Xenopus tropicalis: one gene and its partners. The protein of the gene in region 1 purifies or fractionates together with the protein of each later gene. This does not show direct contact. Links are inferred from orthologs where the notes say so. Each region holds a gene or a part of one and is shown in the gene's direction. Other genes may lie near its edges.

Region 1 (4,035 bases):
GCAGACATAGACGCCTTCTGATCGGAGACCGCATCAACGAGCCGATGTGCTCCCTGATCTGACAGAAAATCAAGCCTGCCTGATCGAGATCTGCCCAATTTGAGGCCAGATATCCATCGGGTAGGCATCGGGGTGCAGATAAGCTGCCGAACCGGTTTGGACCAGAATCGGCAGCTGAAATCGGCCTGTGTATGGCCCCCTTTAGACTTCACTTGCAAACAGTGTGCAAAGCTCATAAATACTCACTTGAAAAGACACATTGCTATTCAGACATTTAAACAATTTGTACAGATGAATACAAATCCTGCAATAAGTGTATTATCTGTGATTTAGATGTTTTAACGTGACTTTACAAAATATTTGTATGCAAACAGCATTCAGCCCCCCCCCCTTTTGAGCACTAACAGTGTTATGTGTTTTGAGTTCCAATGCATACCGGCTTTACACACAATTTAGGTGTAATTTTTGGTGTCACATTTTTTCTGGCACATGTTCTCTGTTATTCAGGTCAGATGACACTTGTGTTTCAGTTAATTAGTCTGAGAGATACTCAGCTGGCATGACCTGGCATAGCTCGTTTGCATAATGGCTTCTTTTGTGCCACCCTACTTTAAAGGAAAGTGTTTATGCAAAACACTTAATATCGCTGATGCAGACCTACAGTGAAGTGAGGTGGCGATGCATAATGCTGTTGGACTGCTTCTTATTCTGCACATCTAGTTAAAACAGAAGGAAGCAGAAAGTGTAATTATATCCTATGGGAGGCTTCCAAAATCATGCATTGAAGGTTGAAAGTCAAAGTTTTTTGCGGCGTTTATGATCGTTCGGATACGAAAATTTCAGAACTTTCGGATTGCGCCACGATATTTGCGTACAAACACAATAGGAATTTTCTCACAATTAACACACATCCAAAATTATTGTATTTATTCCGAATTTTTGCCAATCATACTTTTAATTAGCCGAAATTCGGACTTTGATAAATCTGCCCCTGAGTGAAAAAAAGACCCCTGTCCCTTTTAAAGGAGTGGTTCACCTATAAGTAAACTTTTAGTATGTTATAGAATGGCCAATTATAGTTTTTGAACAATTTGCAGCTTTTAAATGGGGGTCACTGACCCTGTGAGGCTACAATTTTACTGTTACTTTTTATAACTTTTTTTTCTATTCAGGTCCTTTCCTATTCATGTACCAGTCTCTCCTTCAAACCACTCCCTGGTTGCTATATAATTTGGACCCTAGCAACCAGATAGCTGCTGAAACTCCAAACTGAAGAGCTGCTAAACAAAAAGCGAAATGACTAAAAAGAACACCGTTTTATTGCAGGATTTGTTGTTCATTAAATGAACAAATTGTTTCAGTGTCTGAATAGCCATTGTTGTCAGATAATGTATGTTTTTTCATTTTCTGCTGTAAGACACACTGGCATAGTTGGTAATGGCCTACAAGATAGCGGTCAACTTATGGGCTCTGTTTGACTTAACTGATGGCTGTACTTTCATAGCTCTTTACCCAGCTGTTTATTAAGGGAAGTGAAAAATTTTTTAGCCTTATTGATCATTCTAATCATCACTTTACCATCATCATAGTATTTGATTTGTTCATTCATGGTTTTTGTCATTTGCACATTTATTTTATTTATTTTTTTATTGTCTGATTGATTCCTTCCATTCTTTATGGTCATTTTAGATAAACCATTACCAGGGCTCAGCGCGTATTCGAATATCCCTAGTTACTAAGGATTCTCCACACAAACCTCACCCTCATGAGTTGGTAGGAAAGGACTGTAAGGATGGATATTATGAAGCTGAACTTTCCCCAGATCGTAGTATTCACAGGTAATGATTGGTTTGGTTACACTTCTGTTCAAAGGAATTGTCAGCCCCAAAAATAACTTTTTGCTTAATTAAACAAAACTTAATTCTAAGCAATATACATTCATTACTTCATTCATTCATTATTTTTTTTAGTTATTTGTATATATAATTGCTATTAAAAGCAGTGTCTACCTGTCCTCTCTAGTCTCTGCCCTGGTGGCTCTGGCACTTGAAGCAATGTAACACAAGGCAGCAGACTGACAGACCTTGTCATGATATAGGCCTGTAAGGGTTAATCAAGCAGGCCAAGGTATCCCAAAATCTTCCAGAAATGTGCCAGAAAGAGATATATAACAGGCCTCTGGTCACTAGGGTCTGGAACCAGCCATGTGTAAAGGCCTCGCATCCTGAAATGCCCAACTCTAATCCCTGGCTGATAAGAGCCATGCCATGTGGGGGAGTGAAAGCCCACGTGGGGGTGACTTAGAGTTCACATTGGGACCCATCATAGGTGATGTGGAGGTCACACCATAACCCAAACTCACAAACATTTATTGTCCCAGAACCCATACTATTTATACTAGAGGTACCAAAACCTGAGTATATGTTTCATTTAAGATGGCCTTTCATACGGGTCCAAACATCACTGGATTTGGGCACTTGGTTTGTCAGATAGGAGTATCTGGGCAGGGGCAGGTCACACAGTGGTGATGTTTAGTCTGTATGGGACCGGTGGGATCATTAAGAATTGATGAATCTAATTTCATCATGTTCCCACAAGGAGTTATGGACATTGGTATCATTGGACAAGTCCCATACACTCAGTCCATACACAGGAGGCCATAAAACTCACACTGTGTCCTGCTAATGGTGACACCCCTTGCATTCCTGAGGGAGGGGGGAGTGTCCAGTTACCTGATCCCCCTGCAAACTGGGATAAATAGTCAGCTCTTCTGAAGATATTATGTGGAGGACCAATTTCTATTGGAAGTTTATCCTGTGGTTTCCCCTTGCCTCCAGGACTAGAAGGACTTTGCTTGGTATAGTATAGGACTTCTATATTTTTCCCTTTTTATTTTAAAACTGTTTGTACTTGTTTTATCGTATGTCCTTTGTTGTAACATCTTGTTTTAAACTTGCACTGTTATACTTTTTATAATATTAAATATAAAATTTAATAAGTTTGTCCTTGATGCTCTAAAACGTACCTAACCTCCGAGTGTGTAACTGTGTTGTGTGCCTTAGCCCTCTGTATGCTGTGTGCTGATTAACCCTTTGACTGCTGGTAAGGAGAGTGTGTGTGTCGGTTCTTTACATTAACCCTTTCTCTACCAGTGTGCTTGGCATCTCTCATCGCCAGTGTAAGAAGTATGAAAGTGGTGGCAGCAAGTTGTGTATGAGTTTGTGAGCGTTGGTTGGTCTTTGGGGTGCTGTGATGCTAGTCTGACCTGTGTGTCAGGTGTGTGAGACTGAGCAAGGGACCCTCTAGACAGCCACGCCTACAGTCACGTGCATCTGAAGTGGCGTAATCGTGACAGACCTGCCTTGCTGGAGGAGCCTGGCACATGCAATTTTGTTAAAAAGTAACAACCAGGATTTCGGCAAATGCTGCTTTCAATAGCAATTACGTTTACACAACTTTTAAAGTAGTAATAATTTTTAACGAATTGATATTGGAAAGTTGCTTAGAATTATGTTTCTAATTTATTAGGCAAAAACATTTTTTGGGGGTTGACGTCCTTTAAGATTAAAAAAAAAAAAATGCTCTTTAGTAGTAATGTCTCTTAAAACATCAGCATTCTCTAAAATGTTATTATTATTGTTCCTACGCCAGGTTAGTACCGCTTTTGGTGTGTGTCTAAAACAGGGGTTCACAGACTTTACAAGTGTATGGTTCTATTTTGTATGCTTCATCTCTGTGATCTAGTGGCCATCAGCTCAAGATCTACATTTTGGGCATCCGTGCTTAAGGCTATTGCCACACAGGGTTGAATCTCGCCCTGCAGATAAACACGCTACATCAGCCTTTCCCTGTACCTGCACCTGGAATCATTGCATCAGCCTGGGTGCAGGCACAGAGAGCAGATTTTGGTACAGGTTTGGGACCTGTTTTCCAGAATGCTCGGGACCTGGGGTTTTCCGGATAAGGGATCTTTCCATAATTTGGATCTCCATAACTTAAGTTTGCTAAAAATCATTAAAATAGTGATTAACCCCA
Region 2 (4,035 bases), on another chromosome or scaffold:
TGTATAGAGGATGTCTGTCTCTTCTGTGCTCTCTGCTTTCCGTGTGTCCTTAAAGCCCTTAGTTTTATATTAATCTGAATAAGACACGTCAAATTTAGAGAATGTGACAGGAATAATAGCATTTCTTCTTAAATAAGCTCTTGATTTTGTTTCTTTTTAATATCCACAGATCTGTGACATTGCAATTAACTGGGCTGGCGGACTGCACCATGCTAAAAAATTTGAGGTACCTGTTTGATATTTAAAAACATAACCTGATATTTGCCATATTTTCCTCATTGACGGCTATATTTCTTTGTTTATCACAGGCATCTGGGTTTTGTTATGTGAATGACATCGTTATTGGCATTCTTGAGCTACTTAAGTAAGTACCATAAATCTGAATTAAAATGGCTTTCTCCTAAAAGAAGAAACTTCCATAAATAGGTATGCTGTCATCATGTAGATCAGTGATCCGCCACCTGTGGCTCGCAAGCAACATGTTGCTCACCAACCTATTGGATGTTGTTACCAAGGACCTCAAAGCAGGGGCTTATTTTTTAATTTCTGAATTGGAGGCATAGAAACCATGTGTACTGCCAAACAGAGGCCCCTGTAGGCTGCCAGTCTACACTGAGTTACCAAATAACCAATCACAGCCCTTACTGGTCAATCTTTAGGACCTTTTTTCATGCTTGCATTGCTCCCCAACTTTTTTTACATTTAAAAGTTGTTCACAGGTAAAAACGTTTGGGAACCCCTGATGTAGATGCAGTCCTATGATAATTTGTCTTATTTTATAATCCTATAATACATTCTACATTGGTTTTACAATGCCTAGTCTGCGAATGCTTGCCCATTCTCTGGGATGCTGCAGTTATGAACCTAATAACAGCTTCTAATATTAGAGTAACATGTAGTTTTGGAAAAATACATTTGATTCACTTTTCAAAATTTTTTAGCTGTAGTAACTATTTGTGCATTTGTGTGGCCTGTAATCTCTGGTACTTATCCAAAACAATAAAAAAAAACAATGAAAAATTGCAAGGGGTGCTCCCAAAAGGAAGCTTGCTTTCCCAAAAGGGGTTAATGCATGCACATACTGTGCAGTATTAATTAATTTCTTTCTCCTTGTGTTTTAGTCTGATGCACATAACTTCCCAAAAGGGATGTTACCTGTTTTATGAACTTCATGTTAACATAATGTTTTGTGGGTTTACCCCTAGGTATCATCCTCGTGTTCTTTATGTAGATATTGATATTCATCATGGAGATGGAGTACAGGAAGCATTCTACCTCACTGACAGAGTTATGACAGTATCATTTCACAAGTATGGGAATTATTTTTTCCCTGGTACAGGTGAGTACTGTTAAAAGGAACAGTAGAAATGAGGGCAGTTGGACACACACCATAATGTTGGAGCACAGGTGGAGAAATGTCTTGAAATGCTTACTCTTATTGTAAATCATTTTGCTAATAATAAATTAGCAACTAGTGGCCAAATAGCATTATAAAATGTTTCATTTTGATATACAGCCAGTCTTTTATATTCCAGACAATAGGCAAGAAAGGTCTATAGTCAGAATAATAAGAATAATTGGCTGTTTGCCCTTGTGTCCAAATTTCTAAGCCATTTTTCTACCTTCACAATAGATACACCAGTATGTGACCGTAATACTAAAATAGTCTTTATCTGCTAGTGTAGGCAGTCGCTCACCAGTAATAAACAGCCTTTGAAACGGCCGAGTGTGCAAAATGGATAAACGTAATTATATATTTGGATTACATGGATAAACACTTGTGTATACCTTTTTTTTTTTCCTCCTGTAGCCAATCTTGCACCCTTTTTGTATTCAGACATTACTAACATGTAAATTGCTGTTCTGCATGCAAAAGAGAGCTATAATAATGTGTATTTACTTTAAAGTGATGAAACACTGTCAAGCCATGGTCCAATAGGTTAAATATTGTGTGAGTTAGTTATTAATTAGGATAGCAAATGACTTGGTTCTGAAAGGAAGTCCATGGAGCTGAAGCTCCTCACAAGAAAAAAACAGTAGGGAAGGACCATGTAATTATTACTCCTTACATTCGCCTACAAAGCCCTCAGTAACAATGTTCCACCTTACATTTCCAGCCCTATCTCCAGGTACACCCCAAATCAACCACTTCAATCCTCTAATGATCTTAAACTTACCGTATATACTCGAGTATAAGCCGAGATTTTCAGCATGAAAAATGTGCTGAAAGCTCCGCCTCGGCTTATTCTCGACTATATACGGTAATGATGCTCTAGTAACCTCATCACATGCTCACCTTTACTAGAGCAGCTCCATACCTGTGGAATTCATTAACCCACAATGTCAGACACTCTTTTGTCCCACAGAGTCTTAAAACACACCTCCATGAAGCATACACATTTACCTGATAACCAAACTGGTGCCTTGTAAGGCATTACCAGAAACAAATGGTCAGCTATTGCCATGAGCCTAAGAAAGGTACTCGATAATTTAACCCCACAAACTTTGATTATATTTATTATTCAGCTTCTGTTTTATCCTATAGGGGATATGTACGAAGTGGGAGCAGAAAGTGGAAGATATTACTGTTTGAATGTTCCCTTAAGAGATGGCATAGATGATCAAAGTAAGTTCCAGCTTCCATCAGTAAGGTCTGTAAGTTGGGTGGCACAATCATCTTTTGTTCTATACCTGGTTCACAAGCAGAGTGTACACTGAAGTTCACTATACATTTTTCTAGTAGGTTCTGCTTGGTACAAGGGCATACCTATAGTATGGTAATGTCTTATTATAAAAGTATTTTCTTTTAAAGGCAGGCTAAAATCATTAATTCACATTAATTTTATATGTGGTGTCTAAAAATATAGAAATATTTGCAGTTTCTGCAGACTGCTAATACCAGGTGTTTGGCTCAACTGAGAATGAGCAGTGACACAGGGTCTTCAAAAAGCTATTGAGCTGAAAGCCTGCCAAGTAGTATAAAACTCCTAATATCTAATATCACAATTGTTTATTGCTATTCATTTTAAAAAGTTACTGTAAAGAAAGCAAGAGAGCTCAAAGAATCACGCTAAGAAAGTTTACACTAATTCTTCTTTACGAGAATTCTTCCATAACTTAATTCTTTGTCTTTTGCTGATTTATTATTAGGAGATTATAGCATTAAAGGGTGGCGTTTGATTTGGGATACAGTAAGTTGTGGCCAGTGTGTGCTATGAGAGGCTTAAATAGCAAATTAAGCCAGTATCCCTTCATGAAACCTTAGGTGAAATGGAGCAGGAGGAAACACATTATACATTCAGCTGTACATTTTTTTTGCTTGAAAAATACAGGGAGAAAATTAAGGCTTAGTGACCCTTGAAAGCATTGTCACAAGAGGGGTTCAGTGATTAGGTCATTCCACTGGTTTAATGACAACTAGAATATTTAGAATTGCAATGGTTCTGTATGGGGATTTTTACAGCTAAAGGCTACAGGGTTACTAAAAAATGTGTGTTATCTACGAAATACAGTGGCTTGCAAAAGTATTCGGCCCCCTTGAACTTTTCCACATTTTTTCACATTACAGCCACAAACATGAATCAATTTTATTGGAATTCCACGTGAAAGACCAATACAAAGTGGTGTACATGTGAGAAGTGGAATGAAAATCATACATGATTCCAAACATTTTTTACAAATAAATAACTGCAAAGTGGGGTTTGCGTAATTATTCAGCCCCCTTTGGTCTGAGTGCAGTCAGTTGCCCATAGACATTGCCTGATGAGTGCTAATGACTAAATAGAGTGCACCTGTGTGTAATCTAATGTCAGTACAAATACAGCTGCTCTGTGACGGCCTCAGAGGTTGTCTAAGAGAATATTGGGAGCAACAACACCATGAAGTCCAAAGAACACACCAGACAGGTCAGGGATAAAGTTATTGAGAAATTTAAAGCAGGCTTAGGCTACAAAAAGATTTCCAAAGCCTTGAACATCCCACGGAGCACTGTTCAAGCGATCATTCAGAAATGGAAGGAGTATGGCACAACTGTAA
Region 3 (4,035 bases), on another chromosome or scaffold:
AATTCAGACTTGGTTTAGTATTCAGGTGAATTGTTTGTGGATAATATTTGGCCTTATATAGTAATCATGATGGATTCATCAATAAGCGACTGAAGTTTGTCACATGGCTGAAGGCAATTGGGAAACTAAATGGCTAGCCTCATGTCAAATTTAAAATCAGATATTAAAAAAATGTGTTTGCTGTTTTTGGAAAACAGACTCCTTACAGAATTCTGCTGGAGAAGCTCTACTAACTGGCGTGTTTTGTAAAATTACATGTTTTTTTGTGATTCAAGGATTTTTTGGATTTGGCTTGGAACTGATTGAGTCTGTTGATATTGTCCCTGGCATGTTCAAACAGTCTGTCTAAAGGTCCCCATACACGGGCCGACTATAGCTGCCGATATCGGTCCCTTGGACCGATTCGGCAGCTAATCGGCCCGTGTATGGGGAGAGCAGAGCGGCCTGGCCGACCGATATCTGGCCTGAAATTGGCCAGATCTCGATCGGCCAGGTTAGAAAATCCGGTCGGATCGGGGACCGCATCGGCTCGTTGATGTGGTCCCCCATCCGACTGCCCCATTGCCGCCCACATAATCCGCATTTTACCTAAATGCTCCCCGATATCGCCCACCCGTAGGTGGGGATATCGGGGGAAGATCCGCTCGCTTGGCGACATCGCCAAGCGAGCGGATCTGCTAGTGTATGGCCACCTTTAGGCTTGAGAGGTAAATAAACTCTCCTCCAAGTACCAAAACCCCATAAGTGAAATCTGTAAAGCAGTTTAGATTAGACTGACTGCAGTCTGATTGATTGATCTCCTTGATCAATATCTGGGAAAAAATCAGGCAGGTTTAATTTTCCCATTGGATCGGGACAGCATGAGGTCATTGATTCAGTTCTTATTAACAAACAATCAAATGGCCACCTTTGCACCACACTAGTCCATATCAAACAGTTCCAGGATAGTGCATGTCAGTCACCAGGGAGACACATTGAAGATACATTGTTGCTGTTTACCACCAAAAAACTAATAACTAGGAAAAAAGTGTTGCCAACTAGAACTGGGAATAACATTATCATGTGGCATTGTATTGTAAGTAGATTTTTACTTTCATTGGTTGCATTATGTTGGCACAAAAAATTTAATGTAAATAAATCAACAATTTCCTTTTTGAAGGCCGTTACTAAATAGATGTATGATAATCCCATTGGAGCCTTCTCTTTTTTTTTTTTTTTTTATCTAGGGTTTGATCCTGCTCTCCAAGATCCAGCTTTGACTCGGCGTCTTCGTGAGAACCGCGGTGTAGCATTATCTCACCTTGATGACATTATTAAGAAGTACGCAGAAATGCAGGATGAGGGAGAGGATGAAGAAAGCAGAAAAATAAAAGAGGAGAGTGAAAGTCCAAGCAGCTCCAAGAGAGAACAAGTATGTCAGTCTTTTAATGTGTAACGTCATTGACAAGGCCACTGTTTGTGCCAATAATATTTTCTCCACTCCCTAATCAACGTGTGTCAAAAAATAAATTTGGATCTAAGTGTAGATTTTTACATGTAGATTTTGAGCAGAGCATTGTCTACAGGCAAAGGATAACAACCAATTTTGCTTATCAAGTAGCATTCTTAATACATACTGCTATATTAAGCAACATTTTTTATCACATTAATGTAACAAATTTTCCACTAAACTTCAATAGAACTAATACAATGCTGTAGTGGTGGTAGACCTTAATGGGATAGCATAACTAAAAGTAGATCTCTCGCCAGGTAGAGCAGCAGATATCAATCTATGCCGACTATTAACAAACTTACAAACCCCCCATAGGGAAACAGGGTTGAGGGTTATCGCTTCTTTAGACTCGGAGAAAGCATTTGACTTTGTTGAATGGCCCTACCTATGGGAGGTCCTCAAAAGATTTGGCCTGGGGCAGCATTTCATCAAATGGGTCCAGTTGTTATACCAAAACCCCACAGCCAAAATCAGGGTCAACGGCATTACCTGAGAACCCTTCGCCCTCTCTCGAGGGACTTGCCAAGGCTGCCCTCTCTCTCCCCCATGCTATTTGCCCTTGCCATTGAACCTCTGACGATACTCATACGTAACTCCCCCAGCATACAAGGTCTCAAATATGCCAACATATCCAAAAAGGTATCACTATGTGCAGACAACATTTTAGTGTACCTAGCCAACCTCAGACTGTAGGAGCAGTAGAAACCCACAAATAAACCCTGCACACTATAAAAAGAACATATACTGTGGTGGTACTGCAATTAAAAGTTTTTTAATATAAAGTTATTGTGCAGACTGTAGGTGCAGTGCCAGCATTGCGTCACTGTAGGCTGCCTGTGTGTGCCATACTCTGCCTGTCCTATGTTGCCTGTATGTGCCATACACACAGGCAGCATAGGACAGGCAGAGTATGGCACACACAGGCAGGGTAGGGCAGGCAGAGTCTGGCGCGCACACACAGGCAGGGTAGGGCAGGCAGAGTCTGGCGCGCACACACAGGCAGAGTCTGGCGCGCACACAGAGTCTGGCGCGCACACAGGCAGGGTAGGCAGCAGAGTCTGGCGCGCACACAGAGGTAGGCAGGCAGAGTCTGGCGCGCACACAGGCAGGGTAGGGCAGGCAGAGTCTGGCGCGCACACAGGCAGGGTAGGGCAGGCAGAGTCTGGCGCGCACACAGGCAGGGTAGGGCAGGCAGAGTCTGGCGCGCACACAGGCAGGGTAGGGCAGGCAGGGGTAGGCAGCAGAGGTCTGGCGCGCACAACAGCAGGGTAGGCAGGCAGAGTCTGGCGCGCACACAGGCAGGTAGGGCAGGCAGAGTCTGGCGCGCACACAGGCAGGGTAGGGCAGGCAGAGTCTGGCAGGTTTTTGCTGTACTACCACCATTAATATGGCTATGGTCATGCGATAACGTGGGTGTGGTTTTAAAAAGGGGAGAGTGGTCAAAACTAGCTTCCTTTATCGGCCCTCCACCACGGAGGCCGGAAAAATTCCTGCCCTCGGTACCACAGAAGGTGGACAGCACTGCCCTAGACCATACGCCAGCAGTCCCATCTGGTATGAAACTACAATGGGTCCAATTCTTTAAATATCCGGGTTCACTCAGACTCCACACAGTTTATCAAACTTAACCTCGACCCACTGATGGACCAACTGGCCCTGACGTTGAAAACCTGGGTAAAACTACCACTCACACTCTGGGGGCGTATCAATCTGCTGAAAATGGTCTTTCACCCCAAGTTTTTGTACATATTCCACGCCACACCATACCCCCTTCCACGCTCATTTTTCCACAAACTCAACACCCTAATAATACCAAACGTATGGGCAAACAAAATGCCGCGCATCTCATGGCAACAGCTAGCAGCACCGGTACAACAAGGAGGTCTAGCCCTCCCACACTTTTTTTCTCTACTACCTGGCTTCCCAAATATCATACTTACACTGGCAATTCTGCCCCAACCCATACAACCCCAACACGGCCTTACACGCCTCCCTCCTTAACTCCATGAAAGGCTTAAGCAACTTCCCCTACAGACTCATCACTGATGGGAGCGCCCTACCTGACTCTCTCAAAACCCCCCACAAAGCCTGGGCAGTGGCACTCAAACTCATGGGCTACCCACCACCCCACCTATCCCCCCACATGCCCTTATGGGGAAACTCTCTACTCCCCCACCTCAAGAACCTACCCGACTTTTTAGTCTGTCCGAGACTGGGGATCAAGAAACTAGAAGACCTAGCCCAAGGTGTACAGTTCCCTACGCACCAAGAGCTGTGAGAAAAAGAACCCCAAGTGCACCTATTCAGATACCTACAGCTAAGACACGCCTTTCTGGCCAAGTTCCAAACCCTCACCCCAAACCTGGTCTCATTGGACCTAGAAACAGCACTTAACCAACACATATCAAAAAAGCTCCTTTCTATGCACACCTCCTGGAATCCAATGCCATGTGGACCACCTCAATCCCTAGCTTAGAGCTGGGCGGTATGACCAAAAATTTATATCACGGTATTTTTCAAAATTATATCGGTGTCACGGTATT
Region 4 (4,765 bases), on another chromosome or scaffold:
GGGCAGTCTGACAAATGCACCCAGCAATCAACAAAGACCTATAAAAAAAAATTAATTGTCTTTAGTTGAAAGAATCCAAGGGTTTGGTCAAATCTATGTCTCAGATTAAATCTTGGTACAATCTATGCATTCCCTCTATCTATTACCTAATGCTTGGGGGGCTGCAGTCCTGAATTTGATTTTCTGAATGTATTGTGAATGTGATATTAATCTTAGACTGCAAGCTCCACCGGGGCAGGGATTGATGTGAATGATGCCTAATCTCTGTAAAGTGCTGCATGATGGCACTATATAAAGGATAACTATTCTATGTTTTATTTTTATATGGTGCCAACTAATCACCTAGAGCTGGTTCATTATATCAGCCCCTGCCCCAGTAGAATTTATGGTCTAATTTCACATTCACACAGCAAGCACAATGGGACCCATTTAATCCAAAGCTAATTAACTGTCACGTGTCTAAATATCTATGCCATATTTAAATGCTCCGTGGGAAGGGGGCCTAGACCGCAGGGTCTGCTTCCTCTATCTATATATCTATAGGTCTAAGAAGCCCCCCTCCCCAGCCACTCTCTTACCTACTTAGCACAAGTGGCAGGGGAGCGGGGGACACAGGCCGTTGGGTGGAGGGAGGACCAGCTAGGTGCACACCTGGCCCCTCTGATGATTATCTATTGGCCTGTCTATCCATCATCTATCTATTCACTGGCATACCTATCTATTGGCCTGTCTGTCATCTATCTATCCACTGGCATATCTATCTATTGGCCTATCTGCCAACTATCTATCCACTGGCATATCTATCTATTGGCCTGTCTGCCAACTATCTACCCACTGGAATATCTATCTATTGGCCTATCTGCCAACTATCTATCCACTGGCATATCTATCTATTGGCCTGTCTGTCATCTATCTACCCACTGGCATATCTATCTATTGGCCTGTCTGTCATCTATCTACCCACGGGCATATCTATCTATTGGCCTATCTGCCAACTATCTATCCACTGGTATATCTATCTATTGGCCTATCTGTCATCTATCTATTGGCCTATCTGCCAACTATATATCCACTGGTATATCTATCTATTGGCCTATCTGCCAACTATCTATCCACTGGCATATCTATCTATTGGCCTCTCTGCCAACTATCTATCCACTGGCATATCTATCTATTGGCCTCTCTGCCAACTATCTATCCACTGGCATATCTATCTATTGGCCTGTCTGTCATCTATCTACCCACGGGCATATCTATCTATTGGCCTATCTGCCAACTATCTATCCACTGGTATATCTATCTATTGGCCTATCTGTCATCTATCTATTGGCCTATCTGCCAACTATCTATCCACTGGTATATCTATCTATTGGCCTATCTGCCAACTATCTATCCACTGGCATATCTATCTATTGGCCTCTCTGCCAACTATCTATCCACTGGCATATCTATTGGCCTCTCTGCCAACTATCTACCCACTGGCATATCTATCTATTGGCCTGTCTGTCATCTATGTACCCACTGGCATATCTATCTACTAGTCTATAATTCCCATTATATACCTATCTACCCCCTTCCATATTTAGCTATGTATGGCTCTGTCTATGTACTTCCAAATTCCTTACTTATCAGTGTGCCCTTCTCTCTACCCTATCCCCTGCTCTCTATCTGTAAATAGCAACACTAATACAGATGCCGGAGTGCGCAGGCGCAAGGCAGTCCCTCCGCTGAGTGAAGCAATGGAGGCCACTGGCAGAGGGAAGCGGCTGGATGTTCCGAGCAGGGTCGCAGTCAGATTCCCCGGGCAGCTTGGGAGCCACTCCCGGCATGCAGGGAAGAGCCGGGCTGCCCTTGGGGAGAGCGGAGGGTATTTCTCTGTGTGAGACCCGGAGCCCTACTAGTAGTAAAAGTACTAGAAAACTCCGCTGGTGAGAGGGAATTTCCAAGCCCCGCCTTCCGGTGTATAATAGCGCCATGCAGCCTGCCTGCCTCACTCACACGGACTGCTATGTACTGACTGCGCAGCCAGCTGTGCTCTGATTAGCGCCCCAGCCCGGATTGCTTGCGCCTGAGAGTGCTGATTGCCCCTTGGTACAATGTCCTCTATCAGTGATGGCAGCACAGATGCGCTGGTGGCCAGGTTCAAGGTGCTGGAAGAAACCGTGGATAAACTGCACAGGGAAAACAGGACACTGAAGAAAAAGGTGCAGAGCTACCATGTCCTCAACTCTTTCTATCATGAAGCCAAACAGGAGGTGAGCAGCCTCAAACAGAAACTCACTGCCAAGGAAAGTCTCATCCAGAAGCTGATGGCCAGCCAGGCTGCCCTGGGCACCGAGCCTCCGCCGCACGTCTCCTCCTCCAGGTCCTTAGTGGAGAGCTTGATGGACCAGTTGGCTTTAATGAAGAGCAGACTGAAGGAGACGGAGAGGACATGTGAGGAGAAGGTGGAATCCTTGAGCCAGGTAGCTATGCCCTCTGTGCATCTACTGGGACCTGTAGTGCCCACTATGGGCATGTCCAGCCTGCAGAACCACAGTGCCCGCTATGGGCATGTCCAGCTGCAGAACCACAGTGCCCGCTATGGGCATGTCCAGCCTGCAGAACCACAGTGCCCGCTATGGGCATGTCCAGCCTGCAGAACCACAGTGCCCGCTATGGGCTTGTCCAGCCTGCAGAACCACAGTGCCCGCTATGGACATGTCCAGCTGCAGAACCACAGTGCCCGCTATGGGCTTGTCCAGCCTGCAGAACCACAGTTCCCGCTATGGACATGTCCAGCTGCAGAACCACAGTGCTTACCATGGGCTTGTCCAGCTGCAGAACCACAGTGCCCGCTATGGGCTTGTCCAGCTGCAGAACCACAGTGCCCACTATGGGCTTGTCCAGCTGCAGAACCACAGTGCCCACTATGGGCTTGTCCAGCTGCAGAACCACAGTGCCCACTATGGGCTTGTCCAGCCTGCAGAACCACAGTGCCCGCTATGGGTTTGTCCAGCTGCAGAACCACAGTGCCCACTATGGGCTTGTCCAGCTGCAGAACCACAGTGCCCACTATGGGCTTGTCCAGCTGCAGAACCACAGTGCCCACTATGGGCTTGTCCAGCTGCAGAACCACAGTGCCCACTATGGGCTTGTCCAGCTGCAGAACCACAGTTCCCGCTATGGACATGTCCAGCTGCAGAACCACAGTGCTTACCATGGGCTTGTCCAGCTGCAGAACCACAGTGCCCGCTATGGGCTTGTCCAGCTGCAGAACCACAGTGCCCACCAGGGCTCAGGGGTGCTTGGGGTTCGTATTGGAGAACTGCTGGTTGGACCCCTTCGTTTACAGTGTTGTTACCTGCTGTCTTTTTTAACCTTGCTTCAGCCATGCAGAATTTTGAGGATATTTTACCCAGACAATAAGCCTGGCTTTGGTTTAAAGGGAATGTGATAGGCTGGGTATTCCCAGCAGCATTGTGCCCCTCAGATGTAAGTGACAGGGCTAGATGGTGTAGGTATTACGTGTTGTTAATATACTATAATCTCCTATCCCATCCCCTGGCTGTGCTCAGCAGGATGAACTATGTGACTATGCAGCATACGTACATTATAATATGTCAGCCTTATATGCGTGTAGCAGTTTTCAGTTCTGAACTCTGAGGGTGAAGACACACGGAGCTACTAGTAGCAGCTACTTGTCATGGCTACAAAATTAGACAATGCTGATCATTTACCAATAATTGTCTCTATATGTGTTTTAGCAGAGGCAATTCTCAGTATTGTCTATGGCAGGGGATTTTCTGGTGTTTAATTGCAATGACAAGTATCTGCTACTAATTAGCTCTGTGTGTCTTCACCCTAAGACATATTGTCCCAGGGAATTGTGGCTTCCAGAAGATCAGTTGATTTCTTAGAAGCAGTTTGGGAATATTTGTATCTTTCATTTTTACTTTCTGTTTGAGTAGCTCTTATATAGATCATTAATGTAAATCACTGTAATTAAACCCGTACGTGCTTTCCCAGGAGTCTCAGCCTCTCTATCCCGTAGTGTAGTCTCTCAGTACTTACTGTCTCCTCAAATAATAGTCATATTTTTAGTTCTATATTGTCATTCTTATATATTTACTGTACCATTCAGGGCACCCCTATTTTCTATTTATATATCCATTCATTTGATTTATTTTGGGCTCATGTGACTCACAGCTGAAGTATTTAGTATTTAGAGGGCACATGAGTGATATAAGGGAAACCTACTCATCGTAACTCGTGATAGACACAGCTGACAGGAATTTTTTTGGCAGTTATACAATGTTATTCCAGTTTGTCATACAAGCATTTTCCAACCAAAACAGCAGTTGTAAGTAGAAGAGAGTGGGAAGCTCAGTAGCAAAACACATATCAACATATGAACTGTACAGGCAGCACAGCACCTTCAGTAGCAGTTGGATAATAGCCTCTGGGAAGGGACTGTGGCTGTGGGATAGCAGGTATAGTAGGGAGAGATGGTGTCTATAGTAGCAGTGGGATAATAGCCTCTGGGAAGGGACTGGGGCTGTGGGATAGCAGGTATAGTAGGGAGAGATGGTGCCTATAGTGGCAGTGGGGGGATAATAGCCTCTGGGAAAGGACTGGGGCCGTGGGATAGCAGGTATAGTAGGGAGAGATGGTGCCTATAGTAGCAGTGGGGGGATAATAGCCTCTGGGAAAGGACTGGGGCCGTGGGATAGCAGGTATAGTAGGGAGAGATGGTGCCTATAGTAGCAGTGGGGGGATAATAGCC
Region 5 (4,755 bases), on another chromosome or scaffold:
GAAATTTATTTCCATATTACTCCTCCTGCACATTACACAATTAAAAAAAAATGTTGGTGTGGGTGGTGCGCCCATTTTTCCATTTATTTCTAATTATATTTTTTATCTACAGGCAAAAAATATATATATTTTATTGCTTGGATAGCTATTCCCTTTTATTCTTACTTGCTTGTTCTCCTGTCACTTCACTTGCTTAGCAGATGCTTTTATTCCTAGGGGTGCAGAGCAACAGATTTCTGTGCCCTATAGGGAATGTACAGTACATGCAGTTACTGAGTAAATAGTTCACGGAATATGCAAGTTAAACCTCATTCTCCTGCCTCTTTCCTCAAATAATACAAAAACATTGGTTTGTAACCCAAAAGTGGACAGGACAGCAGCTGCTAGAAAAATAAGCTAAGATATGGAAAGATCATGGCAATGGCATTAGCAGAAAAGTTAAAAACAATGGCCATAAGAAAAAAGGGGGGAAATGGAAGAATAGTCAAATTTAAGATTGACAGGTCCTACTGTCAGTCAAAGCCTTTTCCCTTTGTACTGTATTACTGTGCCTGCTCAGCAATTTTACCAGTTTCTTCTGAGGGTTGTGATGGGTGAATGGATGAGTGCAGAACATAAAGATGGTGTGGGGTGCAGGGGAAGGGTTTCCAAGTGCGCATGGTGATGGTGAAAGCCAGTCCCCATGAAGATCTGCAGGGGGGCCCAGCCATTTTTTGTTATGCCAACGAGCAAGGATTTTTAGATCCCCCTCACATAGAAGAGAAAAAGCCTGGGCATTTTACAATGTTGGCAGGCTCAGGCTAGCTCTGTAACAGTGCCATAGGGCAAAGGCAAAGTACAGGGCCTTGTTGTGGCCTGCTACAGCTTGACTTGTTCATCTGAAAGTCAAAATTATTATTCAAAATAAATATATGTTGTTGGATGTCAGAATTGAAAGGGTTGGACTGGAGTGTGCAGGTTCATTATTATTATTATTAACATTTATTTATAAAGCGCCAACATATTCCGAAGTGCTGTACAATAAGTTCTTAAAAAATATATATATAAAAATATATATATTGCAGGTTCATAAAAAATATAAAATATGAATGTACATTTAAATGAATGAAAATAATCCAAATGTAAAAAAATATTTATAAAAAGTATCATAGGTTCATAATTATTAGGCAAAAAGAGTCACTTCGAGCCAGCCAGGAGTCGAACCTAGAATCTTCTGATCCGTAGTCAGACGCGTTATCCATTGCGCCACTGGCCCGCTGACATGTAAAATAGTTTAGACTTTTTCTTTTGAAAACTACATTCTTGTCCCTCCCACTGTGTACGCAGACGTATTTGCTCCAGTCATGCACTCAGCAAGCCGGCGAATGCATTTGGCCCCGCCCACTTTCGTTTACTCGCTCTTGATTGGTTTTCACTTCTGCTTGTAAAACGTAGCTGTTCCTTTCATTGAGTCGTTTCTGTTCTTCTAGAGCTCAGGGTTCCGCCCCCAGCAGCCGGGGGCAGATCCTCATTGGCTGATCCGAACTGTTGTCACAAGAACGGGGTACCGCGCGTGGAGTGGAAGTTGGCAAGATGGCGGCAGGCGGCGGAGGCCGTGTGTCCAGCGGCAGAGATCTCGGCTGCGTGACAGAGGTTGCGGACACACTGGGGGCGGTGGCTAAGCAAGGGTGAGCTCTCTGCCATAGCGCCCCGGAGATGTCTATAGGTTGTGTTAGCGCAGTGACATGTGCACGGATCTGTGAAGCCTGTGCATCCGAACATGTGCCCTACATGTGCCTTTCATTCACAAAGCCAGGAGTTCCCCTACCCACAAACCAGGCTCATTGGGGTGGGATGCTACTATGTACGCAGGGGTATTGAGCCCCATATAGGGTACCCAGGCTTGGGCTTTCATTCAAACGATTAGGTCCCCTCGTTAAACCTACTAAACTGACCCTGCACACTGTACTTCGCATCCAGGATAATAAGCTTTGTGTATATCTGCCCTGAAATATTCATACATTGCGGGTTAGCAGAGAAGTGCCACCATTACAAAGCGGGCCCTGTACCCTGTGCAAAGTAAGTGCAGGGCTCCTGCTCGGCTTTGCCCACCTTTCCTTTTCAATTTTGCATCTCGTCTTATATAAGGTGCATTGTATGTGTACAGAGAGGCCGTAATGTCACACTTCCTAGATGAGGCTTCATGCAGCCCTTTTACAAGCCTTGTGCTTAATAACTGTGGTCCAGAGCTGTACAGCAGGGAATACCCATCAGCAGTGCCATAACTACTACCACTGGAGGGCCTGGATTGGTAGTTACCCTGGTATTCCCCTCAGCACCCTCTCTCCTCCCTGCATCTGTGCTGTCCACTCTGTGCAGGAAAGTCAAGTTACCCCACTGCCAATTGGTATCAAATGATCAGACTGTGAGCTCTGTGGGCAGACAGTATAAGTGGCCACACAGTACAGTCATCTTTCAGTAGTTTTTTGTTGGCCTTAATTCTCCGATATTACAGGTCTTCATCATTTTCTGCCTTGTGCTGGTCGACTGGGTGTAAGGCCTGTTGATAATTTCATACCTGATCAAGGGTTCATCTAGTGTCCAGAGCACAAAAATATTGGTTAGATTATCTGCCAAAAATTTGAGACTTCATATGCTTCAGTAAATGTGCAGCTAGCCTAATCATCAACTTTCTCAATTTTTATTGGTCAGTATAAGGCCACTTTACAAGTAGTTGCAGTACACAGTTATGTCACTACTGCTTTGTAAAGTCATAATTACCATTTTATTTGTATTGTTTACATCTGTCTATGTTGTTCAGTAAAGCCTTATATAAAATATATTCCTTAATTGTCTCCAAAAGGCCAACTGTGGGTATTTAAAATAAATAAATACATTTTTTAAAGTGGTGGCAAATTTTCAAATTCACAGACAAATTAAATTTAGATCATTTTAATTTCCTAGTGTTGCTGGCCCTTTAAGCTATGATTTTGGTGCTTTTGATGCAGTTTTTGGAAGGAACATTGTTGCAGTTTTGTTTTGCCAGCAGATAGTTTGAACAAACCCATAGAATATAATTACTTGACAGTAAAGCACAGAGGGTGCATGCTATCTTTAATTGGTATATATAAATGTCATGTACAATGTCTTTTTAAATATTTTAGGTTTGACTTTCTGTGTATGCCGATCTTTCATCCTCGCTTTAAAAGGGAATTTTTCAAGGAACCTGCAAAATCGCGCCCAGGACCACAGACCCGCTCAGACTTGCTGCTTTCTGGCCGAGGTGATCTGCTTTCTTTTGTATTAGATTTAAATAAAAGGCAATGAGCATATAATACTCATGGGAGATCTACTTGAACTGAGATATATGCTCCACCAAATCCCCCATGCCTGTCTCTTATGTCATTGCTCTTGTGCCACTTACCCGTTTGTGTGTTTTGGGCTTGCTTCATTCAGTCTAATCTTAATCCACCTAAGTCTGGTAGTGCTAGAGGTATACCCAGATTTAATTGGGCCTGTGAGGGGCTATTTGTGACTTTGTGTACTTGAAATGCTTGGGCCTATTTTCTATCTCAGTCCACTTGTGACTACAGGTATGTTTCTGCAGCTTGGGGACACAGTCTTTATTATTGCAGTTCTGCTGGACCTCTTGCCAAACATCAGATTAATGTATAAATGTAAACACACACTGACAATATTCCTGCTAGCAGTCTATAGCTGCATGTTGTTAGCTAACACTATACCTTTATATTTGTGCAGTCATTTCTTGGAGAACAAACTATTTATAAACATATATATAATTAATTGCTCTTCCTCCTTAGACTGGAATACATTGATTGTTGGGAAATTGTCCGACTGGATAAAGACAGATTCTAAAGTGTCTGGAATCCGCAAAACCTCGGAAGCGGTAAGGGAAAGCAGAAAGCTATTACACACACTAAAAACTGGAAAAAGCACAGTTTCCTGCAATATAGTTATGTTATAGGATAATTACATATCATACTTGTTATGAACATTGTGTTCAAGTAATATTTGCATTGAATGCAGCTTCCATGTTTCCTTTTTCTCTTATTGACTACTGTCCAACCCCCTCTTTTTACTTTTACAGGCTTTGCAGCAGGAGTTAAATTTTTCTGCATATTTGGGGCTCCCAGCATTCTTAATTCCTCTTAAACAAGAAGACAACAGTAACTTATCCCGTCTCCTTATCAACCACATTCACACAGGACACCACTCTACAATGGTAGGATACCATTTGCATTTGCACGTGTCTTTGTATTATATTTCTGCTGCTTAATTTAACTTTTTGTGTTGATTTATTTTAGTTTTGGATGCGAGTTCCTTTAATGGCCCCTAATGATCTACGTGATGATATCATTGAAAATGAACCTCTCAGTCAAAGTGAGGAGGATAATATCGATGAGGAAAGGACTTGGATATGGTGAGTGTGTCGAATAAAAAGTTTTTATGCCATTTAAAGGGTTTATTCACATTAACTTTTAGGATAGTATCATGTGCAGTTGGCCTTTTCAGCTCTATGTGGTTGCTGGGCATTAATTACATTAGCAACCAAGATGCAGTTTTGAACTATGATAAGCAATAAAAAATAAGATTGATAAACTACAAACAATAATTAGATTAGGTTTTCCTTAACATATTTAAGGGTAGTGTAAAAATTAATTTCACATTTAAGGTACTTATGGCTGTTTTTCTTTAATTCTTAGGTGGCACAACTTCCGGAGCCTTTGTGATTACAACAAGAGAGTTGCATTGGGT
Region 6 (4,035 bases), on another chromosome or scaffold:
AGTTAAATATGTTAACTATTTAAAAATGTTGCTTTTTCATTCACCTTTTCTTTTAAAGTCCTGTTTTTATTAGTACAATGAATTGTAAAGAAATGACTATTTGACTACCTTAATGTGAGTGAAGTGGGGTCTGGTGGCATTGGCGCTTCTTCTGTTGTGCTTACACTGTTCTTTTCCTTCCCTAGGCCATGGAGACCTAAATGGTACTGCAACAGAAAGATACCCCTCTCCAAAGACCCTTGACTCTGAAAAGGCTGCAAGTCAGACTGCTTCTCGGGTTACTAACGGGAACCAACAGGCCGTCGACAGCAACGCCAGTACCAAGCATTCATCCAAGGCCCTGAGCTTTGGGAAAAGTGGAAGCAAAGTTAAAACCTTGCTTCATAAAAACAGTATGGACAAAAAGAATGAGAAGTCTTACGAAAGCAAGCCTAAGGATAATAAACACACAGACAAGGTTGAGGCAGGACCCATTCAGAACGGTTTGCTGGCAAACAACTCTGGATATATAACTAATGGTTATGTGAGTAAAGGTGCTGAAAATGATGGCAGTGGCTCAGAGAGTGGCTACGCTACTCCTAAAAAAAGGAAAGCCAGGTGTAGTAATGCCAAAGTTGTTGATGGGTCTAGCTTTGTAATAGACAAGATGATAGACTCTGATGTCAAATTTGAGTCTGAGAACTCCAAGCCTGATTTATTAGTTGACCAGAAAGGAGGAGCTAGACTGGACAATGGAAAGTCCTCTTGGAAATGTGAGGCTGCAGCCTCTGGAGCTGGTCGGGGTAAACCAAACTCTGCAGATCTGCAAAGGAAAAACTCTGATACCAAAACGGTACCAGGAAAGAAATTTGATGACCGGCCCAAAGGCAAAGCTTCTACAACTGCCTCCTCAAAGGAGGACTCCTGGTCATTGTTTAAGCCTCCCCCCGTTTTTCCAGTGGACAACAGCAGTGCTAAAATCGTTCCTAAAATAAGTTATGCAAGCAAAGTTAAGGAAAACCTCAACAAAGCAGCCTTGAACAACTCTGCTTCACTATCTTCCCATGCCTTTTCTCCGGCAGCTGGGGAAGTTCCAACTTTGAACTGTGTTTCCCAGGTTCCCATGTCTGCCATGAAGTCGGTATCTACAGCTAATTTCTCCAATGGGCCCCTTTTAGTAGGACCTGATGGAAGTTTCTTGGCCACTGCTGCTAGTACTTTATCACACACACTGCCTGCTGGAGCAGAAACTTTGCCCACAGATATACTCTCTGCCCCAACACCCAATGAACAAAAAAAGCCTAGCCTTTTAACTTACCCTTTAAATATGCAACAAGCACTGCCGGATACAATGCAGGGGGAACTGTCCGGTCAGTCAAATCAACACAGCCTGGGTGAAATTTTTCAGAACCAGTGGGGTTTGTCTTTTATAAATGAGCCCAGTGCTGGTCCAGATGCTGGGGTGGACAAGCCTTCACTTGGGCAGATGGTCTGGGAGCACCCCATCCCAGCAGCTTCACAGGGTGCTGAAGTTGCTGCCTCAGGAAATGAGCGCCCAGTTTTCCCCAAGGCCTATGAGCTAGAGAAACGGACTAGCCCTCAGGTTCCAGAAGGTTCTACCATGAAAACAACTGTTGATTCTGGGGCAGAGGGGTCTGGATTATGTTCAGACCTGCAGCACTTAGGGGAGCCACAGAAGACTGATGCTGCTAGCCAGGGTTGTTTAGTGTTTCAGTCCAAGGTCTATGAGTTAGATATTTCGCCCCAGGCACCCCTGAAAAACACTTTACAGACCTCCGCCAAAGATAAGAGGTACCATGCAGGCCTTGAATGGAAAGATAGCTGTGGTTCTTTCGACCTGAGGGCTGCTATTATCTATCACACTAAAGGTAACACGTTTGATTCCCTAATGTTGCTTGCCATGTAAAAGCACTGCTTCAGTGCAATGACCATTAACCATGTATTAAAATGAGCTGGGACAGCAGGCTGATCATACAGATTATTTGGATTGTTATGAGCATATTACATTTCTGATGTATAAAGGCACACTTATCTAATAAAATAGACACATTTGATTTTAAAACGTTAAGGGGCATTGAGTCCAATGAGTAGCATAGGCTACTTTCAGCTTCCCTGTGTTACCAGCTTCCTGATTCTTGCACCTTTGCTCAACACAAGCACATTCAATGTCCTTATTTTCCTAATGTTTTGCTATTACAGAGCTCTAATATCAAATTTTGTTTGTACTCCTTCTCATAGCGTCACCCACCCCTCCTTCCCTCAGCTTCAACTCATAATACATTTTACTAAATATTCCTACAAACAGTGACACAGCAGAACCAGTTTGAAACTAGTGTATTAAAAAGGCATGCTTAGTACAGGCCCTACTGAGCCCTTATTGAGGGTTACAATACCTCTTGTGTTTGTTTTTATTGTTTGGCAAATATATACTTTTGGAAATATAATATGCTTAATAAAATTGCAAATTGTCCGCATATGTTAATCATTTGTGACCCTTAAATAATCACAGTTTGGTAGCATTATAGAGGTATATATTGCTAAAGGCTTGTGTCAGACTAAAGGTGGCCATACACCTTTAGATCCGCTCACTTGGCGATGTTGCCAAGCGAGCGGATCTTTTCCTGATATCCCCCACCTACGCGTGGGCGATATCAGGAGAATCCAGGCCAATTCGGTCATTTGGGCCTGGGGCCAAACGATCGCATTATAACGACGGTTATAGGAAAAGTCGGTTTGAGGACCGCATCAACGAGCCGATGCGGTCCCCGATCCGACTAAATTTTTAAACCTGCCTGGGCAGGCCCTTCGTTAGTGCCCCTACACGGCTGATTAGCTGCCGAATTAAGGCAACCTGAGTTCTGATTAAACACTGGGGATTCTACCTAAATATGACTCTAAACATGGTCTGGTTTTTGTAGCACTACTGGGTTTTCACATACTCTGCTAACCTTTATGCACCATTTCTTCAAGGGGACCTGTCACCCTGACATAGAAATCCGTATAATAAAAGTCCTTTTCAGATTAAATATGAAACCCAAATTCCTTTTTTTATTAACACATCCATACCCATTATAAAGGTATTTTTGAATCCCAGCTGTCGATTCCTTTCACTTTCCATTCAGCCCTTCACAGATGTCACTGCCCTCCCCTCATTCCCCCTTCATCCTCACCATCTATATGTGGGTCTACAAAATGGGGCCTGCCTGTTTGCTGTGATTGTGTAATTCCAAGACTGAAGGAAACAGCACTTAAATCATTTATATAGTGTAACTGAAGTTTTTGATTGACTAACCTAATAGATAAGAATTTAGAATTATTTCTTAGGGTGACAGGTCCCCTTTAAAGTATGTGTTTGTGTGCAGAATCTTCATTCTTCATTTTTTATTGCATTTGGGCTTGAAAGGTGACCTGTTGCTTATTACAGCTGGGCCATTGCCTATAAATATATACCCAATCGGTGTTTCTTTATAAACCTTTTAATGGCTGTGTATTCATGTTGGTTATGACAACACAAACCTGATACAGTGCAGTGAATGGGTTATGGAAACAACAGTAGCACAGTGCCTCAGCCTGGCACGCATTCATAGCTCATCAACTGTGTTTAGTAGTTCAGCAATCCTTAACGGTCACTTAAAAAAGAAATAAATCCTAAAATGTATATGGCTAGAAATATTGCACTTACTGTAGCAGGCCAGAGGTTCAGTAGCCCTGTATCAGAGTTGTCCATGGCAGCTCCCTGTATTTGAAATTTTTGTATCTGTGGCACTGCACATGCTCAGTGTGAGCTAAGCTTAGGGACTGTCAGAACATGATCAAATTGGTACAAAGTAAAATGACATCTTACTGATGCTACAAATTTGAAGCTGGGTGCACAGGTTTCAATTATGCCTTGTCATTTGAATTCATTACTTATCAGCTTTGCATAGTGATATTGATATTTGTTATAGTTGGTCCCTGAGCTTAGTTAAGTGACAGCAGAACGAAAAAAGTGAACCAGCAGAAAGGAATATGGGGAGTGTGGTTGGCCTTTGGCTG
Region 7 (4,723 bases), on another chromosome or scaffold:
AAAGATATTTCATGCCTGACTCAACATTAAACAACTCACTAGTTCCCCTGTGGTGCATTACATAGGTCATCAAGTACTCCATTACACAGTAACACAGTTAGACATATAGATAAACAGTAACAATAAGATACCATGTTGGTAACTCATTGTATTCTCCTCAGTTGATGTGTAAAGCTGGCCATACATGCACCGATAATATATATAATAATAATATATCATATAATAACCATGCACGCACCGATAATACAATATTATCGGTGCGTGTATGGCCAGCTTTACACATCAATTGAGGAGTTAAAAGATCTGCCTTCAGGGCTGAATTGGTAGAAGGAGGTAAAAATCCTATTGTTTCTGCCTCCTTATCTGCCGTTTCAGCCCTGAATGTTATTGGCGGATTGAACGATCTTTCGTGCGACCATCGCAAATCACCACGTGTGTGGCCACCTTTTGTGTCGGTGTCCTAGTCTCATTAACAGAAGGGTTATATGATTAGCATATCAGCAAAAATCACTGTACAAATGTCAAGCCTATATCTGTTGCTCAGTGCAACAGGGGTGAGCAATAGTAACCCTTGTAAACAAAAATCCATATAATAAGAAGAGAAATAAATATTCTAAAAAGCATCATATTTGATAAGGTAGCCTTCCTCAATCCAAAAAATGCAGTTCCAAAGTTGCAATGTTGTGTTGTGTAGGACCAACTGAAAATGCCTGCTTGTTAGGGAAGTCCTAAAGTTTGGAATATTCTACTTATTTGCTACAAACTCTGTCACAAAGGTGTTCTGATGCTCTATTTTTCTAATCTATAAAAAAATGTCCCCATACCTCAATTTATATATGGTTCTTTAAGCAAGTGACTGTATTAACACACAAATTGGGGTGCCTTGTAGTCTACCTGCCCAAATTATTTTTTGAATAGAGCTTTACCCACTAAGGGTTTCAAGTTGTTCATTGGTCTACATGTGTGTTTTTCTTTTGTGCATTAATAAATAGACCAATTACATGTTTTTGCCTTACAGTACAATAAAAAATGTGACTTTGATTACACCTTACAGTTTCATGGGACCTTAAAGCAAAAGGAAAGGTGAAATCACTCGGGGTGCTAAAATGTTGGGCCTCCCCCAGTGATTGTACCTTTTCTTCTCCTTTAACCTGGTCCCATAACTGCCTGTTCTCAAAGTGGTCCAATAAGACTATGGCCATGCTTTTTATATGGGAAGTCCACCTTACTATTCTACAAGACTATTGTAAGTGCCTGCAGAATCTCACTGCATTCACCAGCAATTCAAAAGTCTTACAATCACTTTTTTTGCTCTTTCTGTTTTTTCTAAAATGTAGGTTTTAAACATTAATCTAATTTTCTCCCTTTAATATTAGCTCAATATGCAGTTACTTACTGTTTATTGATATATTTCTCAGCAGCTTTAGAAAAATGTCAGTGATTAAGATAGACATGTGTTCTAATTCTAGCCCACTTAACTGAAATATAGGTTTTCTTTTCATGAATTTCTTTAAAGTAGTTAAACAGAAGAAGAGGTGTTAGCTAAAGCATGTGACAAATCTTTCTATGGAGCAAATGCAAATGTCATCATGTTAGGGCTTTACTAGTTGGAAGCATCCAGTAACACCATCCAGTTGCAGTTTCCTTTTTTGGATTCACAGCTATTGCATTGTCAAAGCATCTAACCATGTAAAATCCTCTGTTTCAGAACCCAGTGGGAGATGCAGAGAAGTAATGAATATCCCAGCAACATATCAACAACAGTTCCCCTGCCGTAGTGTGAGGGTGGATGAGCCCGTTTCCAGGCTGGAGACTTAGATGATCTGTACATGAGTGCTGCTTTATGTTTTTCTGCACTAACATTCCTACTGTTCAACTAAAGACATAATGACAGGTCAGCTAACTGAAGATAATTCAGAGTCTCCCAATCTGAACCCTGATGAGCTTGAATGTAAGATCTGCTACAACCGTTACAATCTGAGACAGAGGAAACCAAAGGTACTTGGCTGTTGCCACAGAGTATGTGCCAAATGCCTTTACAAACTGGTGGACTGTGGAGAATCCCCACAATGTGTTATTGTGTGCCCGTTCTGCAGATTTGAGACCCGTTTGCCTGAGGACGAAGTCAGCAGCCTTCCAGATGACAATAATATATTACTGAACTTGGCATGTGGTGGAAGGGGGAAATGTGTTGGAGACAACCCAACAGAGCTGCTTCTGACCCCAAAACGTCTGTCAACTCTTGTCACCCCCTCCCACACCTCTGCCAACTGCCTTGTCATTACCATCATGGAGGTCCAGAGGGAAAGCTCTCCTGCTTTGAATGCTACTCCTGTGGTAGAGTTTTACAGGCCTTCAAGTTACGACCCAGTTTCAATACCTCAGAACTGGACAGTGTGGAACTGCACTTCACTGATCTGCCAAACCTCAGTGCGTGTGTTTGTTTGGTTGTTAGGGTTACTTTACTTCAGCTCCCTACCCTTAGGGATCTATTTGCTGGTGTCAAAAAAAGTCACCCTTGGGGTTGTCTTTGTCAGCCTTGTTCCATCTAGCCTTGTTATTCTCATGGTATATGGCTTTTGTCAGTGTGTGTGTCATGAATTTTTAGACTGTATGTCGACGTCTTAGTCCTTTAACCGTATCGCCATCAAATGTCCATTCTAGGAAAAATTTTGTATCTTTAATAGTCAAGATATTTTACCTGTATTTTTAACTGAATTAGATTTGTGTTAATAAGTTTCTTTGCAGTGTTCACTATGACTCCTGTCTGTTGCCTTATAGTTAATAATGTTGGTAAAAAAATCATTACCACCCCAGTTTTAGTCATGTGGGGGATCTGTTACTGATATTTACTGAAATATTAAATAATGAGAATTATTACATGGTGTAATTGTATTTATAGGCTGTAACTCAGGCTTTGGGCAGTGGCACACAAGCTGTTTTAATTACTACTGAAGTGTGTAATGCCAAGCAACATACTTATATTGCTTGCTTCTCATTGGCTGTGATGTTCAACGTAATTAGCTATTAGTGTCACCATTAGAATGCTTCTATGCTACAGCCCTACAGCCCAATTCAAAAGATATCATGTGATAATGCAATGCTAGCAAAGAAAATGTGATCGTTTACAGGTATTGTACTGAAAAGCACTATAATGAAAAACTGTTTTAAGTCTCTCAATAGCTGTATGTGTTTTTATCTGGTTTCTGCCTACTTTTATCTTTTTTTATTAAGGTTAAAAATGCTGCACAAATAGGAAGAGAAAATCAACCCAAATATTTATGAATGCTATGTAACGCTCCCAACTATATATAACATCAACCAATAACAGCATTTAAATTGAAACTAGCAACTGCTGGGCATGATGTGCATTCACATATGACTGGCACGCTCACAGAGGAACAGCATTATACACAAAGCACATAACCCAAAGGGAGGAATGCATCCTGAAAAAACATTGTGATTCTCCACCTGGCACAAGGGAAAGTTTCATCCATGGTTTATGCAGACTTTCAGAATGCCACCTTGTTACTGTGGCTAACAACAAGGAAGTAGGTAACTGCTGCTGATATGAGTTGATTACTATAATCTGACCACCGTTATCAGATACAAATATTTGAGGCTCCCACTGCTTTAAGTCAGTATATTTTGTCAGAGATTGCACTGATAATATCCCTGCCTTGCCTGCAAAAGCTGGTTCATACATCCTAAATGGTTGCAGTCTCTATACTTAAATTGTGCTTCCTTAGTAGTTACATAGTAATTCGGTATTGCTAATTACTGACAGGCTTCTGCCTCTCCCTGGGACTGTGACTTGCTGGCTGCTGATACTGCAGAGGAAGTGCTGGAGGAACACAGACAGTGGCAGGAGGAGCGCCAGAGTGTGGTCAAAGCAGGTATGTCTGTGTATGTGCATTCTACAAGGGTGTTTTTTTCCCACAGAGAATGTGACTGACAATGTCACTGCTGACGTGCTGGTGTCCAGGGACAATGACTTACCCTGTGTATTGAATATGGGGCAAAGTAATATCTCTCCTATTGGCTCTGCTGCAAATGCTGTGATGGTGCTTAATGGCAATGTTTTTCCTTCCACTGCTAATCCTTCCAATGCTGCTGTTATGGGCCTTAAAGGCAATGCTTTACTTTTTGCTTTTGGTTTACCATCCACTGCTGCTAATGTCATGGTTCTTAAAGGGAATGGTTTGCCTTCTACATCACTCATGGGGGAGGGCCCTGCTGGGTGCTGTATAAACAGTGGTGCCCCTGGTGCTGGTGACTGATAACATTTCTGTACTAAGGAGTATGGAGTTGCTGCAAAGCAGGAAAACAACACTGAAGCAGGAGATAAAGAGTGTGACTGTTTCAAGTGGGGTTCAAAAGCCCCAGGGCACCAGAAAGGCTGCAGCTTTAGGATGATGGCCAATGGAGTGAGTTAGTTGCCCGCAATAGATCTCTGCTACAGCAGGCGACTAACCATGCCAAAATGTCTTGCCACCAGAAACAATAGGAGTTGCCAATGGAAAGGCCTATGCATTGGTTTGGTTTGGTAGCAGAGATCTATCATGGGCGACTAACTTGCTTCATGGACCATCAGCCTTAAACAAAAAGCTGGAGGACATTGGGCTGGAGATCAAGGAGACCATGGAGCAGATCATTAACTTGAGCCAAAATGTCTCCCATGATGATGCAAATGTTCCAGTTGGTGGAGGGGAAAGGATGGAAG

Evidence for each region.
Region 2: the proteins of rela (region 1) and hdac3 purify together in Homo sapiens (affinity purification with western blotting; 3 studies listed by BioGRID and IntAct, with this or other methods). This does not show direct contact. The link is inferred for Xenopus tropicalis from reciprocal best matches to the Homo sapiens genes RELA and HDAC3.
Region 3: the proteins of rela (region 1) and daxx purify together in Homo sapiens (affinity purification with western blotting; 4 studies listed by BioGRID and IntAct, with this or other methods). This does not show direct contact. The link is inferred for Xenopus tropicalis from reciprocal best matches to the Homo sapiens genes RELA and DAXX.
Region 4: the proteins of rela (region 1) and tnip2 purify together in Homo sapiens (affinity purification with mass spectrometry; 4 studies listed by BioGRID and IntAct, with this or other methods). This does not show direct contact. The link is inferred for Xenopus tropicalis from reciprocal best matches to the Homo sapiens genes RELA and TNIP2.
Region 5: the proteins of rela (region 1) and prmt5 purify together in Homo sapiens (affinity purification with western blotting; 3 studies listed by BioGRID). This does not show direct contact. The link is inferred for Xenopus tropicalis from reciprocal best matches to the Homo sapiens genes RELA and PRMT5.
Region 6: the proteins of rela (region 1) and nufip2 purify together in Homo sapiens (affinity purification with mass spectrometry; 3 studies listed by BioGRID and IntAct, counting the BioPlex papers as one, with this or other methods). This does not show direct contact. The link is inferred for Xenopus tropicalis from reciprocal best matches to the Homo sapiens genes RELA and NUFIP2.
Region 7: the proteins of rela (region 1) and rnf182 purify together in Homo sapiens (affinity purification with western blotting; 3 studies listed by BioGRID). This does not show direct contact. The link is inferred for Xenopus tropicalis from reciprocal best matches to the Homo sapiens genes RELA and RNF182.

What each region holds. Positions count from the first base shown.
Region 1 is NC_030680.2:38,474,933-38,478,967, forward strand, and holds part of rela (transcription factor p65), read left to right. Parts: intron 1-1,689; coding exon 1,690-1,838; intron 1,839-4,035. UniProt on the Homo sapiens protein: NF-kappa-B is a pleiotropic transcription factor present in almost all cell types and is the endpoint of a series of signal transduction events that are initiated by a vast array of stimuli related to many biological processes such as inflammation, immunity, differentiation, cell growth, tumorigenesis and apoptosis.
Region 2 is NC_030679.2:27,758,335-27,762,369, reverse strand, and holds part of hdac3 (histone deacetylase 3), read left to right. Parts: intron 1-169; coding exon 170-226; intron 227-308; coding exon 309-364; intron 365-1,205; coding exon 1,206-1,339; intron 1,340-2,545; coding exon 2,546-2,626; intron 2,627-4,035. UniProt on the Homo sapiens protein: Histone deacetylase that catalyzes the deacetylation of lysine residues on the N-terminal part of the core histones (H2A, H2B, H3 and H4), and some other non-histone substrates.
Region 3 is NC_030684.2:72,194,933-72,198,967, reverse strand, and holds part of daxx (death domain-associated protein 6), read left to right. Parts: intron 1-1,226; coding exon 1,227-1,411; intron 1,412-4,035. UniProt on the Homo sapiens protein: Transcription corepressor known to repress transcriptional potential of several sumoylated transcription factors. Down-regulates basal and activated transcription.
Region 4 is NC_030677.2:21,864,118-21,868,882, reverse strand, and holds the start of tnip2 (TNFAIP3-interacting protein 2), read left to right. Parts: upstream 1-1,717; 5' UTR 1,718-2,096; coding exon 2,097-2,465; intron 2,466-4,765. UniProt on the Homo sapiens protein: Inhibits NF-kappa-B activation by blocking the interaction of RIPK1 with its downstream effector NEMO/IKBKG.
Region 5 is NC_030677.2:140,172,425-140,177,179, reverse strand, and holds the start of prmt5 (protein arginine N-methyltransferase 5), read left to right. Parts: upstream 1-1,499; 5' UTR 1,500-1,572; coding exon 1,573-1,667; intron 1,668-3,143; coding exon 3,144-3,262; intron 3,263-3,800; coding exon 3,801-3,886; intron 3,887-4,087; coding exon 4,088-4,222; intron 4,223-4,304; coding exon 4,305-4,420; intron 4,421-4,703; coding exon 4,704-4,753; intron 4,754-4,755. UniProt on the Homo sapiens protein: Arginine methyltransferase that can both catalyze the formation of omega-N monomethylarginine (MMA) and symmetrical dimethylarginine (sDMA), with a preference for the formation of MMA.
Region 6 is NC_030678.2:33,024,252-33,028,286, forward strand, and holds part of nufip2 (nuclear fragile X mental retardation-interacting protein 2), read left to right. Parts: intron 1-185; coding exon 186-1,868; intron 1,869-4,035. UniProt on the Homo sapiens protein: Binds RNA.
Region 7 is NC_030682.2:91,940,347-91,945,069, reverse strand, and holds the start of rnf182 (E3 ubiquitin-protein ligase RNF182), read left to right. Parts: upstream 1-1,639; 5' UTR 1,640-1,887; coding exon 1,888-2,628; 3' UTR 2,629-4,723. UniProt on the Homo sapiens protein: E3 ubiquitin-protein ligase that mediates the ubiquitination of ATP6V0C and targets it to degradation via the ubiquitin-proteasome pathway.